3 linked regions of the Nothobranchius furzeri genome follow. The protein of the gene in region 1 purifies or fractionates together with the protein of each later gene. This does not show direct contact. Links are inferred from orthologs where the notes say so. Each region holds a gene or a part of one and is shown in the gene's direction. Other genes may lie near its edges. The genes, in order: vti1b, stx12 and stx6.

The links.
Region 2: the proteins of vti1b (region 1) and stx12 purify together in Homo sapiens (affinity purification with mass spectrometry; 3 studies listed by BioGRID and IntAct, counting the BioPlex papers as one, with this or other methods). This does not show direct contact. The link is inferred for Nothobranchius furzeri from reciprocal best matches to the Homo sapiens genes VTI1B and STX12.
Region 3: the proteins of vti1b (region 1) and stx6 purify together in Homo sapiens (affinity purification with mass spectrometry; 3 studies listed by BioGRID and IntAct, counting the BioPlex papers as one, with this or other methods). This does not show direct contact. The link is inferred for Nothobranchius furzeri from reciprocal best matches to the Homo sapiens genes VTI1B and STX6.

What each region holds. Positions count from the first base shown.
Region 1 is NC_091758.1:18,876,467-18,883,883, reverse strand, and holds the start of vti1b (vesicle transport through interaction with t-SNAREs homolog 1B), read left to right. Parts: upstream 1-2,865; 5' UTR 2,866-2,997; coding exon 2,998-3,094; intron 3,095-3,192; coding exon 3,193-3,251; intron 3,252-7,417. UniProt on the Homo sapiens protein: V-SNARE that mediates vesicle transport pathways through interactions with t-SNAREs on the target membrane. These interactions are proposed to mediate aspects of the specificity of vesicle trafficking and to promote fusion of the lipid bilayers.
Region 2 is NC_091751.1:25,519,195-25,525,820, reverse strand, and holds the end of stx12 (syntaxin-12), read left to right. Parts: intron 1-2,666; coding exon 2,667-2,804; intron 2,805-3,621; coding exon 3,622-3,665; intron 3,666-3,849; coding exon 3,850-3,952; intron 3,953-4,034; coding exon 4,035-4,107; intron 4,108-5,267; coding exon 5,268-5,350; intron 5,351-5,827; coding exon 5,828-5,920; 3' UTR 5,921-6,099; downstream 6,100-6,626. UniProt on the Homo sapiens protein: SNARE promoting fusion of transport vesicles with target membranes. Together with SNARE STX6, promotes movement of vesicles from endosomes to the cell membrane, and may therefore function in the endocytic recycling pathway.
Region 3 is NC_091748.1:80,949,464-80,956,568, reverse strand, and holds the start of stx6 (syntaxin-6), read left to right. Parts: upstream 1-2,526; 5' UTR 2,527-4,197; coding exon 4,198-4,232; intron 4,233-7,105. UniProt on the Homo sapiens protein: SNARE promoting movement of transport vesicles to target membranes. Targets endosomes to the trans-Golgi network, and may therefore function in retrograde trafficking.

The sequences.
Region 1 (7,417 bases):
TGTCTGCATGCTGGTGACAAATTCGGAGACAGAGGTGAAAGAGAAAGGAAGCGACAAAAGGAAGGGGGTGGGGGGTTCCACAAAAATAAACAATCAATGATGAACAAGAGTTTGCTTCTAGACCTGCAGAAAGAGCCCAACACTGAGCAAAGCAACCCATCACGCCAGCTCCCCCTCCTAGCCTCTAGCCATGGGAAGCCAATAAGAAGAAGAAAGTATCATTTATATAACGCCTCTCGAGATAAAAATCACAAGGCGCTTCACAAAAACAAAAATTGTAAAAATATAAAAAAGCATTTAGAAAATGTTTAAAAATGTATTTAAAATGAGCAAAAATAGGCAATTGTGATTAAAAATGTTGAGAAAGAGAGAAAGTGAACAGGAAAGAGGGAAATCAGTGGATCTTGAGGAAGGTGGAATAGGTGGGGAGAGCAGAATAAAGAGAGAGTGGTGAAGAAGGTCATACAAAAGCCAGCTTGAACAAGTGAGTCTTCAGCTGCTTTTTAAAGGAGCCCACTGAGTTCACTGATCTCAGGCTCAGGGGGAGAGAGGTCCAGAGTCTGGGGGCCACAGCAGCAAATGATCTGTCACCTTTGGTCTTTAGCCTGGTGCTGCACAACCAGTAGGCTTTGATCACTGGACCTCAGGGACCTGCTGGGGGTGTAGGGACTGAGAAGATCACCAATGTAAGATGGTGCTTGTCCATGTAAGGCCCTATAGACCAGAACCAGGGTCTTGAAATGAACCCTGAAGTTGACTGACAGCCAATGAAGCTGGAGGAGAAGCGGGGTGATGTGGGTGTGTTTGGAGGACTAGGTCAGAAGCCGAGCACAGACATTCTGAACCACCTGTAGACGGTTCAGGGAGGTTCTGCTCAGACACGTGAAAAAGCGACAACACAGGTGTGCTAAGACCCCTAGTCTCCCTCTGCCTGCTCCAATACAGTGTTAGTGTGTGTTGATGAGGTGTATTCCATGGTTGTGGTGAGCGGGCAGTGCGGGCATCGTCTGGCCTACGCTAGCTGATGCCACCACACAACCCCACTTCCCCCCACAGCCCTCTGTATCTAAGTGAAGTTTAATATTGGAAGTGGGCACCGGCACTCGGGATGAGGCTGAAAGATCCCCTTGCCAAATGCCGTTGAGTGTGCTCACTCCCAAAGCCCTAAGTGTGTGTTTACGTCGAATGTCATTGGTGGAAGTGCTTAATGTGCAAATAAAATTGGGGGGCAGGCTGTCTCAGGAATGCGGAAATGGGATCCATACCTGTACCCCCTGACTTGCCCACCCCCCATGATCCTATGTGCATGTTTGTGTGATGATGTGAGGGAGCAGGAGGAAAAAAAAATGTATGGGGATGTGGAGGAATGGTTGATTGGCCTAAGCCCTCCAGGGAGCTAGCTCCTCCACTGGCCCCAATAGGCACCTCTGTTCCCAAAATGCCACCCAGGGCATGGAGACCCCAGCCCACCTAGCCAGGGCCCAAAGCAGCAGCATCGCAGAGCCCTACGGAGTCCGAGGGCACCAACCCAGCCCCACCCCAGCAGAATATCTACTCCCATCCCTGCATTTGCACAACTTCCAGAATATGTAAGACATAAGACATCAGGTAAGGTTGGGTCCTCCCCCTCCTGGACAACCCCCTCCCCCGTGATGTGACAGAATTGTTATTATTTCAGAGGAGCCAAGGTCCACCTGAGGCCCCTGAGCCTGGGCCAGGCACCGCCGTGTGTTCCCGCCTTCTTCCCAGCAGCATACAAGTTAGGAGCCAATCCCCAAGGCCCCGCCCAGATCCCCACATGGGGGCCAGCTACCCCCACACCCTTAGCCCCCAGGCCCCCACCCAGACCCACTCAGGGGTGATGCAGCCACCAGGCAGCAACCCATCGCCACCGTCAAGACCCCCCAAGGGGCTCCACTCACAACCGCCAGTAATCCACCCCTCGAGGCAACCCAAGCGCCTCCAGAGTGGGACAGCAGCCCCCCAGCCCCAGACACCCCCAGTGAATCCACCTCCAAGGAACGTCCGGATACTGCAAGCGCAGACCCTCCACCCCATCACCCACATCATCCCGCAGGACAGTATCAATGACAACCCCCCCCCCCCCCCCACACACACACACACACACACAATCACCTCTATGTGATGGAACCGATCAAAGGAGCCCATATAGATTGATTTGAAGTGGAAGAAGAGGCTGTCTCAAGTGTAATATGATCCAACAAAAGATTTATATACTGGTTAATGCAAAGAGTATCTCTATTTTTCCAATTCATGAGGATAGTTTTTTGAGCGACGCATATGGCAGTCAGAACCACGTCAACCAAAGGTGTTTCAATCGGGACATCATCCAGGTATCTTGCTATTCTTTATAGGTAGCCTTGTATCTAAATAGTAAATAATTTATAAAACAATAATTCTGTACAAAATTGATTATTATTATAATGTATCTATAATTTAGGCCCATTATTGTTTTAGGAAATAGCCTGGCTAGAAAATAATGTAAACAGACAAAGTAAATGCACACTAATATAAACTTCGTTCATTTTTATTTAATATTGTAGTGACTAGTAATAGTTTATCTTATTTTATGATGTTTCAGTTGTCTTTTAACAAATGTTTCAAATCTTTTTTAGAAGAATTAGCGGAAAAACTACAGTTCCCAGAGACCGTTTAAAGCTGTCTACCTTCGTGCCTGAATAAAATACGTTAAAATAACTTGTAAGACATTTAAATAGTGTTAAGCATATTGATGGTATTGTCACATTCATCTTCAGTATTGAAATAAATTTCACCGAACGTTTAGCATGTGAATACTTCAAATTTGTAGCAATGTTGTAAAGTTTAGGCACTTGGTCACGAGAGTCGTCATGCGGCAGCGGAAGAGTCTCATCGAAGCACAAGCAGTTGATCCACTTGTGTAGTTCGTTCCGTCCTTTAAAGAAAAAGGTACAGGTGGCCTTTTTATGACAGACAGCGAGATTACATTGACGGAAAATGTCGTCGGAAGAATTTGAGAAGTTACACGAAATCTACAGATCCTTGTATGACGAGCTAAAGCTAATCCCAGAGAAGGCTCTCAGCTGTACCGGAGGTAAATAAACCCGTTGTTCCCTCATTTAACCTCGTTTAAGTGTCAAATAACAAAACCTTCTTGGTTTAAACCTCGAACTTGTTCTGTTCCTAATGCAGAGGAGAGGAAGAGACTGGTGAGGACCTTCGATGAGAGACAGGGGGAAGCTGATGAAGTGGTAAAAACGTTTGTTTACGTCAACATCTTCACTTGTTTCTGTTTGTTATTTATTAACAGTGAGTGTTATAAATAAGGCCAAGAGTTTGCTGTAATTATTACCGCAAAACATCAACATAAGTACAATGACTGGCTGTGATGCTAAAGCTAATGTAGCTGAATGCATCTTGTGTGTAAAAACCATCGACATTAATATATGGACAATGGGTTTCCATAGACTCCAATAACACGTTTTTGAGGCTAAATGGGAGGTGGCCACCACCGCCATTTTGACCGTGTCACAGGTTCCGTCAAGCCCAGACAATTCCACAAAAGGGAAGAGAGGAGGAGCTGAGGGTGGGGCTGTAAGGCTGGGATCAACTGACAACACCCGGTCGAGCTATCTACAAGCTAACCTGAAGCTAACCCAAAGCTAATGCGGATGTGGGAGCTAAGCTATCGGAGGTAGCAACCTAGCTACAACTGGAGTTAACTGTGCACAACACCAGAGCTTCTGAGTCAGAGGTACGCCGGGCTGACCGCTGGGTAAAATACGGTGGAACCCAGAGGTCTCGGAGACCTCCACAAGCCGGCAGCCGCACAGTACACAGAAGCCGCGATCAGACAGATGCGTCGAGCTGCTGGGAGAACCAGCCGTCAGCTCGCTGCAGCAAACAGAAGCTGCGATCAGACAGATGCGCCGAGCTGCGGGGAGAAGTGGCGTATTTTGGCGGTTCTGGCTTGCCATAAGAACCAGCCGTCAGCCCGCCGCAGCACACAGAAGCCGCGATCAGACAGCGATGCGCCGAGCTGCTGGGAGAACCAGCCGTTAGCCCGCGCAGCTAACAGGAGCCGCGATCAGACAGAGATGGACCAGGCTGCGGGGAGAAACAGCCGGCATTCTGGGTGGAAAACATCGGTCTCCCGAGAGCTCCACAAGCCGATAGTCGGAACCCAGCTCCACCAACATGTTATATTTCAACCCATTTTCTAAAGTGCAGCATTGTGTTAAATGCACTGGGTTTTACCCTATTACATTTAAATTTCATGGTTAAACAGTACATGTTAAAATCTAAGCTCAGCTTGGCAGTGACCTAAAATACATAAATATAATTTTACTTACCGAAAAAAATGAAGTGGAGACTCCTTGGACGCTCTATTAGTGCAATTAATGCCACAGCAAGTCATTTTGTCCAACAATTGCACAAAAAATATCCAAAAAAGAATACACAAACACAGAGACTCAAAATCCCGGAACAGTTTCCAAGCCAGACTGAGGCTCTACTGAGGCCTTTCCACGGAGCTAGCTCTGTGGTCACGTGTGTCGGATGCTCATTAATTATACAGAATTTTAGGCTTTTAATACACTTAAACAGAAGAGTGAGAAAAAAAATTCACCCCCCTCAGAGTTGTCATGAGTATAAACTAGATCATTTAAACAAAAAACATGTTTTGGTACCAGGCTGTAAACATGTTTATTTCTGCTGTGAAATTGGCATTTTTAACATGGGAGTCAATGAGGATTTGCTCGTTTCTGACACCAGCCCCCAGCGGATGAGGGTGGAACTGCAATTTCTCTTACTTCCGGGTTGGCCTCAAATTTAAAGCCACATTGTGGGGGCCTGGTAAAAACGCAGCTTTACACTTTAAGCAGAGAGGTAGTGCAGTAATCATTAAATCAAAAGTCTATTAAACTTCAGTGTTAAAAACACAGAGGAAGATGCTTAAATACGTGCCTCACACTGCCAACTTTATTCGGTACACCTTGTATCTGCAGGGTTAGATCAGAACTACCTTCTCTCTTCATGTCATTGATCCAACAAGATGTTGGAAACTTTCCTTAGAAGTTCTGGTCCATATTAACATAACATCACACAGCTCTGTTCATAAGGAAAACCTCCTACTCCACCACATTCCATAAGTTCTGGACTGAGATCTGGTGACCGTGGAGGCCGTTTTTGTCCAGTGAACTCATCGTCATGTTCTAGAAACCAGTTAGAGATGCTCTGAGCTTTGTGACATGGTGCATGATCGTGCTTGAAGTAGTATCAAAAAATGGGTCCATGTGGTCATAAAGTGATAGACATGTATGGTCAGCAACAAGGTTGTGGTACTTAAACTAGGCTCAGCTGGTACTAAGGGGTCCAAAGTGGGACAAGAATGCCACCAGCAGCAGCTTAAAGCATTGATGCAAGACAGAATGGACCCATGCTTTCATGTTGGTGACACCAGATGAATTGAAGCCTCAGTATCCTTTTCTTAGCTGACAGGAGAGACACATTGATGTGGTTTTCTGCTGCTGGATCTGCTTCAGGCATCATCATGTTGTGGTTCAGAGATGCTGTTCTGCAGACCTTGGGAGGAACGAGTGATTGTTGGAGCTGCTGTTGTCTTTTTATTTATTTTTTTACGGTGTCCTGTCCGGCTGTGAAGCAATCAGAATTGATGTCTGAATGCCAAAGATAAGTAGTATTATTAATTGTATTATTTAGTCTGGCAACGCTCTAATTATGGCTCTCAGTTGTGGGGCAGGTTCAACCGTTGTCTTTCAAATGATCTCCGCATGCTACTGGACAATGAATGTGACATACTCTTGTTTCTAGGGATGGGTACCTTTGACATTTGAATCGATTCGGTACTAATTCCCGGTACCTACGAATCGATACCGGTACTTAACGGTACCAATTTTCGATACTTTTGAGTGTTTATTATTTTAATTCTCTTTTATAATTAAATATATATTTTTCTCAATATATAACAACATTTGACAAATATCACGATAAATAACATTCAACTGTTTGTATTAACATTGTCCTTGTAGTTTTATAAGCTGATAATTAAACTGAAGCAAACATCTTTACTGTGAACTAAATTTACTGTGTATCTTCATTCCTTTTGCCGTCTTTTTTCATTTAATTTTTCCTACTGGGAAGTTAGAATTTCCGAGGAGAAAGCGAACGCACCATTAGCTGATAACAACGGTGGCAATGGAAGCTAACATATCAAGCTAACGTTATCTTTAACAGTTTATTTAACTGCTGGAGCAGATTAAAACAATAATGCCTCACACTTAGATCGTTGTCACTGGTTTCATCTTCACCCAATCACCCGTCGCATTTAGTAAAGTGAAGCCAAACTTTAGAGCGCGTTCATGTTCTAGTTGGAAATTCGGAGTTCCGAGGAGAAAGCGAACGCACCATTAGTGAAACGGAAGCTAATATATCAAGGTAACGTTATCTTAAACATTTTATTTACCTAACGGAGCAGATTAAGATGAGGATGTCTCACTTAAATCGTTGTATGTCGCTGGTTTCATCATCACCCAGTTACCCATCACATTTAGTGAAGTGGACCCAAGCGTTAGCGTGCGTTCTTTCTACCATGCTGCTCTGTTTACAACACGCTCGCAGGGACCGACGACATAACGCTCTTGCGCATGCGCAGCTGTCTTGGCAAGTTCTCGTTATGAAGGACGGGTACCAAAACGAGGCACCGTTTGAAACAACGTGAATCGTTGCTCGGTCGGTACCTTAAAAAGTACCGAATTCGATACCCATCCCTACTTGTTTTGCTCTGTTGCATCATCCCACCCACCAGGCATATAGAGTGCCCTGATTGGCCCACAAAGCGGATAAAGCTCTGTGATTAGTTCACTAAGCAGATAGAGCGCTATGATTGGCCCACCATTATGGACCAATCACAGCTCTTTATGTGTTTGAAACCCCTCTAGAGAGCTGTGATTGGCCAGCCTGAATGCTGTTGGGGCTGCAGAGGTTCCAGTGGAGCGTTCCTAGACCAAACTTTGCAAAGCAAGAATTTGGTCTAGTTCACTAGGCTAAAAGACAAGCCTTACAGTTTTACTTTCACAGGTGGAGCGTGATACCAAAACTTTACTAGAAATATTTTCGGTTGCTTTAAATCCCAACTGACATGAGGACAGAAGTGAAAGAGAAAGGGGGCGAAGCGAATGAAGAGGTGGTGGCAGCTGTTGTCTTTCTATCATCAGAATCCACTTTATCAGCCAAGATTGTTACACAACCAAGGCATCTGGATACACTGTCACATCACACCAACAGTGTGGATATCAATGACAAAGAGTACAATATATCTGTTTGTACAGGCAGTTATTAAAAATATATAAATATTAAAAATAAAAGAAAAAGGCGGGTTTAGTTTGTGCTGTTTGTC
Region 2 (6,626 bases), on another chromosome or scaffold:
AAAGGAGAGACTGGCCGCAGGGCCAAATAAGATTTTATATTTCATGGGTCAAGTTTATGTGGACAAGTTCCTTGCCAGTGTACTCAGTAAGGTGATTTTTGTCTCCAGCCAACTGACCTTCATGGTGATGAGCAACAATCAGAGCTAATAGTGTTTTTATAGGACGTCTGGAAAAAGATCATAGAGCTGTTTATTTCTTAAAGGTCTTGTTCACCAAAGAACCATACTTCCTTTTTAAAATGCGATTGGTCATGCTGAGTTTCACCTGCATGCTGAGCATGAAAATAGTCTACAAACCATATTTGCTGGAATAGAAGGAAAATAGATATGGAAATGAGCAAGTCAGAGAAAGCCAGTCTCTGTCACAGGCCCCGCCCACCCTGGCTTGGGACTGCCCACAGGAAAGAGAGAGCAGAGTGTATCCCGACTAGTAGAAGCTAACCATTAGCATTTGTGACTCCACAACATGGTTGAACATCTTCAGGCTTGTGTTATAAAACATCAGCGTTATATTATCATAATAAAATCATAAATTATAATAAAATAATATAACGCTGATGTTATAAAACATCAGCGTTATATTATCATAATAAAATCATAAATTATAATAAAATAATATAACGCTGATGTTTTATAACATAATAAAGTGGAACAAAGGCAGTGGAACAGTCACTTGGCTGTTGGCCAATCAGAGACCAGATGTTTGCTTTGACTTTGACATCACTAATTAAAATCATATTTGGTCCTGTGGCCCATTTTTCCATTTCGTAACGTGTCCTGAGACTAAAATTGGACTTTTTTTTTTTTTGCATCCAATAAAAAAAAACATTTGTTTTTTGGTTTTTAATTAAAAAATGGAAAGATAGAAAGATGCACTTCTGTTGAGGACTCAGTCTGTAAATATTTGTCATCATCACACACTTGTGCGCACACACGTGTGCACGGGCTCACACACACACACACACACACACACACACACACACACACACCTAATGGAGACTAACACTAGTATTACAGGAGCAGGTACATCAACGCCTCCCTTGGGTTTACGTCTACCCCGATTAGCTCTGTTGACACACCTGTTAGGGGTTAATGGATGAGGGATGCTGCAGGTGGCCCGCGGAGTATCTTTGCGTGACTCTACAGTTTTTATGATTGTTTACACCATAAAATAAAACAGTCCACTCCCAAGGAGAATAATACTTCTGCTGATTTGTTCAACATTAACCCTTCGATGCATGAATTATGAAATCTTCAACCATGATTTTTTAAACAAGTTTTTTCATTCATCTTTAGGTGTGAATGAAACAAATTTCAACAAATATTTTTTGTAACATTTAATAATTTACAACTAATTTACTACATGTCCACCTCAGTGGACAGCGTGCATTCTGAACATGAAATATGTTGGCTTGACTTACTGAAGTCCAAATGGAGGGGCTCAAAAATGCAACAAGGTCTTCAACAGCTGTGCTTAATTGTCCACTGTAGTGAGCATTATGCATCAAAGGGTTAATGTCTTCTTTACACTTTGTGCAAAACTCTACACACATTTTCACAGATGAGGTTTGTGAGGCTACATCTTGTCCAAACAGCCCTGGCCTGTGTGGAAACACACACCTGTTTAACTGAAAGCATAACAATCAGATGCCACTAAAGACATGATGGGATATGGATAAAATCTTGTGTCTGATCTAGCCAGACAGTAATAATAATAAAGTTACAGTACATCTATTACTGTGATGTTGCTTTAGTTTTTCTTCAGCCACTGTAAGTTTACTTCATACAGTCTTGTCTTATTTGTCTCTACAGAAGTTGGAAAACTACTGTGTTGTTCTTCTGAGTTTTCATGTTGACATATTTACTGAATACATGATAAGAAAAGCATATTTCCAGTCTGCTGTCATTGGTATGTTTATAGTAAGCTACCTATTTATACCTCGAAGCAATCCTAAAACCCAGCACTCGACTTCTGGACAAAGGGTTTGTAAAGTAACACTAAACAGTTTCTAGCTTCTCCGTCCTACTGGTTCAAAGTGGAATTACAATTGTTGTAAGCAACCCTGCAGCAGGCTGCTGTAGCTAGCGCTAACAACAAGCTAGCACCAACATGAGGCAAGTCTTACTAAGTAAGCCCCAAATTAAAAATGTCCACACTGTTGGACAAAAAATAATATTACTAAAATCCAGTAGCAACAAAGTCAGGTCACCATCAGTCTGTGATTTCGTAGCCTCCTTTAGCTTCCTCCAATGAGTGTAGGCCATGGTGAGGTTCACTCTGGTTTAAGCTCTTTGTTTCACCTCCAAAGACAAAACACTCCAACTATTACCTCCAGGCTCCACCATGGTGCTGACAAAAACAAGCTTTTTTCTTCTTCTTCTTGTGTTCTTCATTGACAGCTGGTGAATTAATTAAGCTAACTGCTAGCTATTTAGCCCTTTTAAGGATCAATGTTTCTCTGTTGTAACATTCTTCCTGTAATAAATTTAATATCATTGATAAGTGTGACTGTTTCCTTGAATGGAGAAACATTTGTAGAACAGTGGAGTGTGTGGGTTGCTTCCATGAAAAACTTCCCAAACCTCCTTGGCAGATTGTGCTGTTGACTCTTGTTTGGGTTTGCTTGTTGGATTGGATGATTGATGTCTGGTTCTGTGGTGTCCAGAGGCAGCAGAAGATCCAGAGGGAGCGGCTCATGAATGACTTCTCAGCCGCTCTCAACAACTTCCAGGCTGTCCAGCGGCGTGCAGCAGAGAAAGAGAGGGAGTCGATAGCCAGAGCGAGGGCTGGATCTCGACTATCGGTAAGGATCAATTATTTGTTATTGACAAGGCAATGGTAATATGTACTGGACTGATCCCAGAATTGGAATCTTTATTTATTTATTTGTTTGTTTATTTATGTATGTATGTTGATTGTGATTAATAAAAGAGCATAAAACAGGAGTTGTTTTCCACTGGAACCTGTGCTAAAATGGAAACTATGGTAGTATTTGAAGTACTCCAAAAACATTTGTGAGAGACAACAGCATACAGCCTTAACACACACACACACACCACCAAAGTAAGAGAATAATAATAATAATAGTAACCCTTTATATATCACAAGGAGACCAAAGTGCTGTACAGGTCAGTCAACAAGAACTTAACCAAACCTAAAATGGCTAAGAAAAGGCGGCTTGGCAGTTTCTGATCAGCTGGAGTAAACAGCCAATTTAAAATGATGGGTCTTGAAACGAGGTTTAAAATCTTCCAACATTCTGGCCTTCCTTATACCAAGAGGATGCGGCTCTGTTGCCCCAGGTTATGAGATGAGATCTGGGATAAACCGGCAGTAAGAGGGAGCAAGGCCATTCAAACATTTAAAAACAAGAATTCAAATCTTCAAATCAACCCTAAAATAAACTGGGAAGCTAGCTCTAACACCCTCTCACATCACCATGGTGGATCTTTGTCCCACTCTTCTCTGCAGGATTGTTTAAATGCTGCCACATTGGAGGGTTTCCCAGCATAAGCTTCCTGTTTAAGGTCAAAGGTCAAATGTTCTGCTTGGGAGCAGAAATCACTTGTTGATGTACTGAGGATGGATCGGCTAACGTGTGTCTTTGTCTTCTCTTTTAGGCAGAAGACAATTTTCGTGATGAGAAGCTTGTTTCGTTTGATAAGTAAGCGATTTCCATCTGGTCTCTCGAGGAACTTTGTAACCAAAGAGTTAAATGTGAATAAAGGATGAGTCGTTATAATTGTTGAGCTTGGAGTCCCTACTGATGGCTACGATGGCTGTGCTTCTCATCACTTAGGGGTTAGTAAAAGTTACAAGACTTTCTTTTATCCTTTGTTTTTGTGAAGCCAAGAGGATTTTGGTCAGCTGACTCAGACAGAGGAGGTCGGTGTCACGGAGGAGGACCTGGAGCTGATCAAGGAGAGAGAGACCAACATCAGACAGCTGGAGGTGAGACGTCACTTCCTGTTACCTCCTGTGACATCACTACCAACTGGAGGACCAGCAGCTGATTTCTGTTGGTTAATTTCAGTCTGACATCATGGATGTGAACCAGATCTTTAAGGACCTGGCTGTGATGATCCACGACCAAGGGGAGATGATTGGTGAGTGGTTCTGTACTGGTTGCAGTATTCTGGATACTGGGTCAGGTGGCCATGTGTGTACTTGTAAAAATTGGTCTTAAAGAAGCTTTGTGATTGGCTACTGGATTTTTTTCCACCTGTAATAAATTCTGTGGTATTTAGTTTATCCACTTCTTTGTTTGGATCAGTATATGTATCCCATCCATCCATTCATTTCCCTCCACTTATCCGGGGTCAGGTCGTGGGGGCAGCAGTCTAAGCAGAGAGGCCCAGACTTCCCTCTCCCCAGCCACTTGGGCCATTTGATATTGTTAAATAATCACCTAAGGATGTACAGGAGGCCATGTTTGTTTTTGTTGGTTGATTGAAGAGTCGTTTTTCGGGTTCACCTAGTGAATCAAACACTTTTATAATGTTGTCTATCCCAGTCTTCCTGGAGTTGATTAAACCTCTTGTTTGGTGTAGATGGAAAAACGTATGGAGAAGGAATTATCTTGAAGGAGTCTGTTAGGACAATTCTGGTAGTAATAAGTGTCAGATAGGCTGATGAGTCTGTCTCTCAGCTGCTGTCTCTGAGGCGTCCACGGCTCCTCCACCAGGGCCAGAGAACCAAAAAGAGCTTCCTCTGCAGGGTGTCTGGGCCCAGCCTCAGAGATCAGACAACCTGCGGAGTGGGACTGCTGTCCATGTCCAGAGCGGCTAACTGGAGCATTTGGCCAAGATCCCTACTGTGGGAAGTGTTTTGGGTATGTCCCATCCAGGTTGACCCATGGTGCACTGGAGGGAATGTATCTCTGACCTGGTCTGGGAACTGCTTTTGTCCCACGGGAGGAGCTGGTGGGAGTGGCAGGGGAAAGGTTGGTCTGTGCTTCCTGCTAGGCCTCCTGACCTTAACCAGAATGAGTATATTTGAAATGTCGCCACCCTTTAGTTCTCACCTCTCTCCTGAGCATCAGGGAGGTCCTCACTCTTGTGTCGCTGTTCACAAAATGTACAGGTTTTCCATGAAAATAGTGACTGAGTCATCAGGGGCAACGGTAGCCATCTGGAACCCTTCTCATGCTCCTGATTTATTCCATTTCCATCCTTCTGTCTGAAGGGGTGGGCAAAAGAAATGACGCCCATGGATTCTATGGCAGCTTTGTCTTGTTCCTGTTAGCTGATCTTGTGTTCTGCTGCAGATAGCATCGAGGCAAATGTGGAGAACGCTGAAGTTCACGTGGAACGAGGAGCAGAGCAGCTGCAGAGGGCAGCTATGTATCAGGTGAGTTCTTCTCTTCCATCTTCTGTCGTTAAAGAACCTCTGTGGTGGAAAAATGCTCTCACCAAGAGGCATGCGGGTGATTAGAATATGGTTTCACTCTTGCAAAGGTGAGAACCCCGAAACAAAGGAGTCAAGCCTGTTTCTGACTTAAGGACCAAGTTCACTTGTGTTTTCTACACATTTTGCAGTGGCTTTTCTAATCCGAGTTTCCTCGTCTATTTTCCATCAGCAGCTGATGCAGGAAATAGGGGTAGAAGACTATTTTCACATGTCTCAGTGAACTTGGCCTTTAACACAGAAACATTGCACTCTTTATAGGAGAAAGAGTCCTCTAAGAGGTGAACTGCTGATGACAGCAGTAAAAACAAAACAGCACAGGCTGCAGTTTAGATCAGAGTCTGAGGAAACATGCAGGAAGCTTTAACAATGGGCGTTTAACTCTCTCTCTCTCTCTCTGCTGTCTCTGCCTTCTCACAGCAAAAGTCCAGGAAGAAGATGTGCATTCTGGCCATTGTTGTTTCTATAGTACTCCTGGTCCTGGGTCTTATCATCTATTTTTCTTCCAAATGAGTGTTTTTGACCAAACAGTGTTTTATTCTACCCCGTCCCACCTGCAAGCAGAACTGAAGAACAGGAGCACCACTGGGACCAGTCAGTCTTCACTAAAGATGTGTTGGTCCTAGACCATCTGAAGTCACGTGGGATCATCTGAGCTCATTGATGCCTCTGATTGTAATTGAAGCTTGAGTTGGGGGGGGGGGGGGGGGGGGGGATTGAGGAGCATTTCCGATGTTCTCTATTTCTTCTGTGCACTAACACTAGCTGTCACCACATTTCTAATGTAAATATGTAGTTGTGAAGGACTAACGGAACCGCTTGTTGTAACGCGGAGGTGATGACGAAAGGAGTCCGAGTGATGATGATGATGATGATGATGATGATGATGATGTTGGATATAAACAAAGTTAAACAAATATTTCTAGTCTGAATGTTCTGTTAAGAGCTGGAGGTTTAGTGTACAGCGTTTTCAGCCCATTCCTCACAAGTTCTCGCAGAAGCACATTAAACGTGTATAGCAGTTATTTATTCTGTCTGGTGACCTGTTCTTAACTCGGACAGTACATGTTCTGGAGAACATTTATGTGTTTGTGTGCAAACCGTCAGGTGGACTGAAGTTCCACGTAGAAAACCTGATTTCACATTTTAAATCTCCAAGTTCGTCTCTAATTAATTAACTCATAATCTAAACTAAATTAAACATTAGTAACATTCATTT
Region 3 (7,105 bases), on another chromosome or scaffold:
ACGTACTCCAGCTGGGGATTCAACAACAACCTGATTGTCACATTTACTTACAACTTTATGTGGTGCTATGTTTATGGGCTGCATGGTGGCGCAGTTGTTAGCACTGTTGCCTAGCAGCACGAAGGTTGCAGGTTCTAAACTCGGCTGCAGCCTTTTTGCCTGGAGTTGCGTGTTCTCCCCATGCATGCGTGGGTTTCCTCCGGGTACTCTGGTTTCCTCCACAGATCACAACATGCCCTATAGGTTATAGATTGTAAATCGCTTTGGATAAAAGCGTCTGCCAAATAAATAAACATAAACAGGTAGAGCGGGTTGTCCAGTAATCGGAAGGTTGCAGGTTCGATCCCAGCTCTGGACAGAGAATTCTGCTGTTGTGTCCTTGGGCAAGACACTTAACCCACCTTGCCTGCTGGTGGTGGTTGGAGGGACCGGTGGTGCCAGTGCTCGGCTGCCTCACCTCTGTCAGTGCGCCTCAGGGCAGCTGTGGCTGCATCGTAACTCATCCCCACCAGTGTGTGATGTGACCATAGACAGTGTGTGAATGGATGAATGATACACTGTAGTGTAAAGTGCTTTGGAGTCCTTACTCTGAGAGGCGCTATACAAGTGCGGGTCATTTATCATTTAAACTTGTCCATCTTGTCCTGTTTCATCAGTACCGTCTCTCCAACATCCACTTTTGAATACAGTGCTGCTCTTCGCTCATCTGCGTACAGCTTTAACTGACCCTTTTGTTCTGCGGCTCTGTCACGAACGTCCAACGCTGTTGTGCTCGACCCACACAGTTCTGGTAACTTTCCTCTTATTTTCCGGTTAAACAGGAGTTCCGCTGGACTTTTCCCGGTGGTAGGATGTTCGAGTCCTCTGTACACTGCCACACATCTTCTCAATTCCTTCTGCCACTCAAGTCCTTCGGCCTGAGCAATCCTGATCCTCTTCATCAGCAATGCATTTTGCCATTCCACTTCTCCATTAGCTTGAGCCCATTTTGGAGTTGTTTTAATATGAACGTCCTGTCCGGCCAGGTGCAGTAAAAGAGCGCGTCTCCGCTGCGCCATCACATCAGACGTCCCGTCGGCGATGATAAGACCTTTCTCGTCTGCATACAACTCGAACAACGTCAGCTATCGCGTCCATCTTGATCCGAGAGTAGCAGGTTCTGTGTAGCATGCAAATGGCTGGATCCCCGTCTTCTCCATCGTGAACGCAACTTTCGCGTCCAACTCCGCCACTTAAAAAAAAAAGTCCTGTTTTCAAACACTCGTCTCCGTCATCCTCGTCACCATTGTTGTGTGTGTCGATCTTACTTTATTAATGAGATAGGACATTCTGAATTGGGGCTGCTCAGTGGCACAGTGGTTAGAGCTGTTTCCTTGCAGCGAGAAGGTCCTGGGTTCGCTTCCCAGCCTGGGATCTTTTTGCGTGGTTTGCATGTTCTCCCTGTGCATGTGTGAGTGTCTCTGTGTTGCCTGGCTCTCTGTAAAGGGTGTACCCCGTCTGATTGCCCATTGACTGCTGGAGACAGGCAACAAACCCCCACCCCCACCCCACCCCACCCCCCAGATGAGGCCCGCGGAGCATTCTTATGTGGCCCGCGAGATAAATATCAAAAATATATTAAAACTGGCCCGCTGGCCGATTTTACCGCAAAGACTACAACTTCCATGATGCTTTGCGGCGTCAGCGCGCAGCCGACGCGCCCCCTCCTTTGTGTTTTTTCCAGCGCCTGCTGCCGGTGTCAGCAGCTCTGCTGTCTCGGACAAACTAAACACTCCTCTCACTCAGCGCCGAGTTCACTCAGCTGTTTTCTGACGTTGAAGCCCAGAAACGGAGATTCTAGCCGCTCAGTAATGTGTTCACGACTGAAAGAGAAGTTTTCCAACTAACGTCCAGACAGAGCCGATATAACTCCAGCGAGCAGCGACACGCTCAAACCAGCACGACTCTGTGGTCGTGTTTCCTCCCCGACACACAACAACGTGCTCAAGCTGCTCAGACATGTTCATCAGCACAAACCTATGTGAGCACCTGTTGTCATCTAATGTTGTCATTATTATGATGAAGATGAGCAAAACAACAGGAGTCTCCTCCTCAGCTCAGACCAACCCCATGATGCAGGTATCTGGCTGGAACAGGTGAGCATCACAGTAAACCAGTGGAGCAAACTGAGCTTTAAATATGTTGGTTTTATGCTCTTTTTCTGCTCCAAAACATGAAAGTTAACAGGTGAGATGTTGCATTTTCATTTAAGATTAAATGATATTTGTATTTTGTTGTTGGCCCGTGAGCAGGGGCGGATTTAGGACTGAAGAAGATCCGGGGCTTAACGCACACATGCACGCGTGCACACACACACACATGACACGCACTAGTCAACATCATATATATTTGTCTTGTACCACATAATTTTTAATCTGAAGCTACATATTAAGCATTTTCAGGGCAGAGTATTGTTCCTGTTAGTGTTTAGTGTGAGATGATAGTAAATATTCCCGTTCTTTCTCCAACAACTTTACCTGATAGTAAGCTAACTTTAGGCAAACCAGCAGCACAACAAATATTTTCTAATAAGACTCACAAACCTGAGTCAACACCAGTCTCATCAAAGCTGGGGTTCTGTCGCCGTACTTTTGGTCTAAAAACGTCCTTATGTCCATCTTCACTCATGCGTTTCAGGCAGAGAGTGTAGAAGAAGCCGGCTGCTGAAGGGCTTCTTCTTCAGTGGTGGAGGCTCAGGCAGGCTGTATACAAACTACTGCCAGCTGCTCCCTCTCTGTTGGACTTTGGTACTGCATGTTACTTCCACGATTTAGATCCGGGGCTTATCATGAAACATCCAGGGCTTCAGCCCAAGTAGCCGGGCCTAACGCCGGCCCTGCCCGTGAGCAAAGATTTAACCTACAGTAAACAGGAAGTGGAAAGGCTGCAGATAGATGAATAGAATAGAAAATCTCTTTATTGTTCCTCAGTGGGAAAAGCTAGACGTCACAGCAGCGATGACACGTATTACAGGAGAAAAAAAGGAGAATAAAAAATAAGAAAAATGAATAAACAAGAAAACATAAATCCTGAAAAGATTTTAAAAATGCTGATTATACCACAAGTAATGAATACCACTGATGCCTTTTATTTAAAACCGACTTGCTCGTGTGTAATTTGGTTATTCCACATTCAGTGTTAATGCAGAAATATGTTTGTTTCCAAATTTAAAGGTTCAAAATTGCATATATGTTGATAAAGAAAATGTGCAAATTTGCCATCACTTTTTCAAAAATATTAAGTTTGGCCCTTGACTCCGTCCCAGAGTTTCATTTCGGCCCCGTGTGAGTTTGAGTTTGACACCCCTGCGTTACGTCATCACGTTCCCAATACATGACAGTTTCTACTAGCCTGGCAAGCCAGACTAAATAAATGTATTATTTATTTGCAAAGCAAGAATTTGGTCTAGTTCGCTAGGCTAAGTTTCTACAGCTAATTTTTTCCACTGATGAAGTATATATAATAGATGTACTTTTAATATTATATTAGCTAAATATTTACATACAAAATCCCCATGATTTAATAATTTCAAAGAACCTGATCTGAATGAGTATTGTATCTCTATTACCAACAGTAACTTAAAATGCCAAAATTGAAAACTAAAATAAAAGTGGTTTAAGAATATTTTAACAGATACTTTGTTGTGTTTTTGATTATATAGTGTTGTTATTTTAAGTTATGTTTAAATATGGAGTTTTTGTTTTATAATTGTTAATTTTTCAATAAAGTTTTGAAAAATAAAACTTACTTCCTGCACGGATGTGACGGAATGGTTGCCGCTAACGTGATTTGGAATCGTAGGATGTCCCAGGAAGTTCCTGCCTTTCTCGCCTCTGATTGGCTAGAACGTCTCTACTACGATTGGCTATTTCCATTTAGCAGCAAACCGTCTTCCACCGCTTAGTGCAGTCTGTGGTGTAAAGTGATAACGCGGTCCGGGTCTGCAGCCTTTCGGAGAGCCCTTGCAGCCAATCAAAGGCGAGAAAGACGGGATCTTCCTTGAACATGCTACGATTCCAATTGACGCTTCATTGCTACATGTAAACAAAGCACAGAGAGACGAGGCGATGACCAGAACCGGGCTGTAATCGGAACAAAGCCCTCGCAGCAGAGCCAGACTGAAGAATCTGGTTAGTGGACTGAACGCGAAGCGGAAAGATGTCCATGGAAGATCCATTCTTCGTCGTTAAAGGGTCAGAAGCATTGGTTATCTGCACTAAACTAAAGCTAGCATCCGCATAAAGCTCGAGCCACGACTATTTTCCGGTGCCGTGGGCAGCAGCTGTTAGCTCTAGAAGGCTGGTTCCGTTCTGGCTGGTCTGTCCAGCCCTCGATCAGAATTCCCCTGCGCGTATACAGTATGTAGTACGGTCAACGCGGGGTAGGCCTTTGTTGTTTTTCGCTTAAAAATCATGAGTGAATGGTATTCAAATGTCTTTTCACCCACAGACCTGCTGCCCACTGGGTGTTTTCCCTTTTTCAGACCATTCTCTGTAAACCCTGGAGATGGTTGTGTGTGACACTCTCAGATCAGCGGTTTCTGAAATACATGTAGTGAAAGAAAACAATCTTTTATAAAAGCACCTCTCAAAATAAAAATTACGAGGCACTTCACCAATAAAAAATGAATTAAGGCATAAAAAAGATTTCAGAGATGATTAAAAATATGTTCAAAATGAGAGAGAGAAAAATGGTGATGAAAAATAATGCTAGGAAATGGAGAGAGAAAATGAACAGGAAAGAGGGAAAACAGTGGATCCTTTGACCCAGCTCTCATCCTGGATTCTCATGTCAGTTCTCTTGTTGGCTCTTCCTTCTTCCATCTCAGGAACGTTGCTAAGCTGAGTCCCATTCTGTCCCGCTCTGAACTTGAGACAGTTCTCCACACCTTCATCTCCTCACGCTTAGACTACTGTAACTCTCTTTTCACGTGTCTGAGCAGAACCTCCCTGAACCGTCTACAGGTGGTTCAGAACGCCTGTGCTCGGCTTCTGACCAAGTCCTCCAAACACACCCACATCACCCCGCTTCTCCTCCAGCTTCACTGGCTGCCAGTCAACTTCAGGGTTCATTTCAAGATCCTGGTTCTGGTCTATAGGGCCTTACATGGACAAGCACCATCTTACATTGGTGATCTTCTTAGTCCCTACACCCCCAGCAGGTCCCTGAGGTCCAGTGATCAAAGCCTACTGGTTGTGCAGCACCAGGCTAAAGGTCAAAGGTGACAGATCATCTGCTGCTGTGGCCCCCAGACTCTGGACCTCTCTCCCCCTGAGCCTGAGATCAGTGGACTCAGTGGTCTCCTTTAAAAAGCAGCTGAAGACTCACTTGTTCAAGCTGGCTTTTGTATGACCTTCTTCACCTCTCTCTCTTTATTCTGCTCTCCCCACCTATTCCACCTTCCTCAGGATCCACTGGTTTCCCTCTTTCCTGTTCACTCTCTCTCTTTCTTAACATTTTAATCACAATTGTCTATTTTTGCTCATTTTAAATATATTTTTAATCATTTTCTAAATTGTTTTTTATATTTTTACATTTTTTTTTTGTTTTTGTGAAGCGCCTCATGATTTTTATCTTGAGAGGCGCTATAGAAATGATATTTTCTTCTTCTTCTTCTTCCTGGGAAAGGTGGAACAAGTAGAAAGAACATAATAAGGAGAGAGAGGTGATGGAGGTCACTCCAAATCCTGAACAGGTGAGTTTAAAGGAGACCACTGAGTCCACTGATCTCAGGCTCAGGGGGAGAGAGGTCCAGAGTCTGGGGGCCACAGCAGCAAATGATCTGTCACCTTTGACCTTTAGCCTGGTGCTGCACAACCAGTAGGCTGTGGTCACTGGACCTCAGGGACCTGCTGGGGGTGAACCAGGATCTTGAAATGAGATATATATACACAATATATATAAATACTATATCTATATCTATCTATATATGGTATTATATATATATATAAATACGATATATAAATACTATATATATATAAATACTATATCTATTTCTATCTATATATGGTATTATATATATATATATAAATACGATATATAAATACTATATATATATATATATATATCGTATATATATATATATATATATATATATATATATATATATATATATATATATATATATATATATATATATATATATATACACACACACACACAGTGGGTTTACAGAGAATGGTCTGAAAAAGGGAAAACACCCTGCGGGCAGCAGGTCGGTGGGTGAAAAGGCCTTGTTGAGGTCAGAGGTCAGAGGAGAATGGCCAGACTGGTTCGAGCTGATAGAAAGGCAACAGGAACTCAAATAACCACTGGGTACAACCAGCACTTTATGTTTTATATATGTATTTTGTTGTGCCTGAAATGAACAAATTAAAAAAAGGTATGCAGAAGAGCATATCTGAATGCACTACACGTGGAACCTTGAGGCAGATGGGCTACAGCAGCAGAAGACCACACCGGGTCACACTCCTGTCAGCTAAAGACAGGAAACTGAGGCTACATTTCACACAGGCTCACCACAACTGGACAATAGAAGACTGGAAAAATGTTGTTTGGTCTGATCAGTCTTGATTTCTGCTGCAACACTCGGATGGTAGGGATGGATGCATCCTGCCTTGTATTAGCGGTTCAGGCTGGTGGTGGTAGTGTAATGGTGTGCAGGATATTTTTTTACACACTTGGCACTAGAGCACCTTTGGGATGTGGTGGAACAGCCAGCAAATGTTCTGCTGCTTTTGATCCACCCTGTTCTTCTGATAATGACCCAGATTCCTCAACTTCTCAGTTTAATGAGTACTGCCTCTCCATCCTGGACAACATCTGTCCTGTCAGAACCAGATCAGTTCCTGCACCAGGGCTGCAGCTATCGAATATTTCAGTATTCCAGTATTTTATCGAATCTTCCATCGATTAATCGAGTATTCTACTTGACGACATTTCAAGTGAAAGGAGATTATGGTCTGCAGCTAAAAATTTGAAAATAAAAAAACAAAATTATAAAAGGCTCAACAACAGATGTTAAATTGGTGTTGTCTCGTTCCCTCCTTCCTAGCTGATATTTATA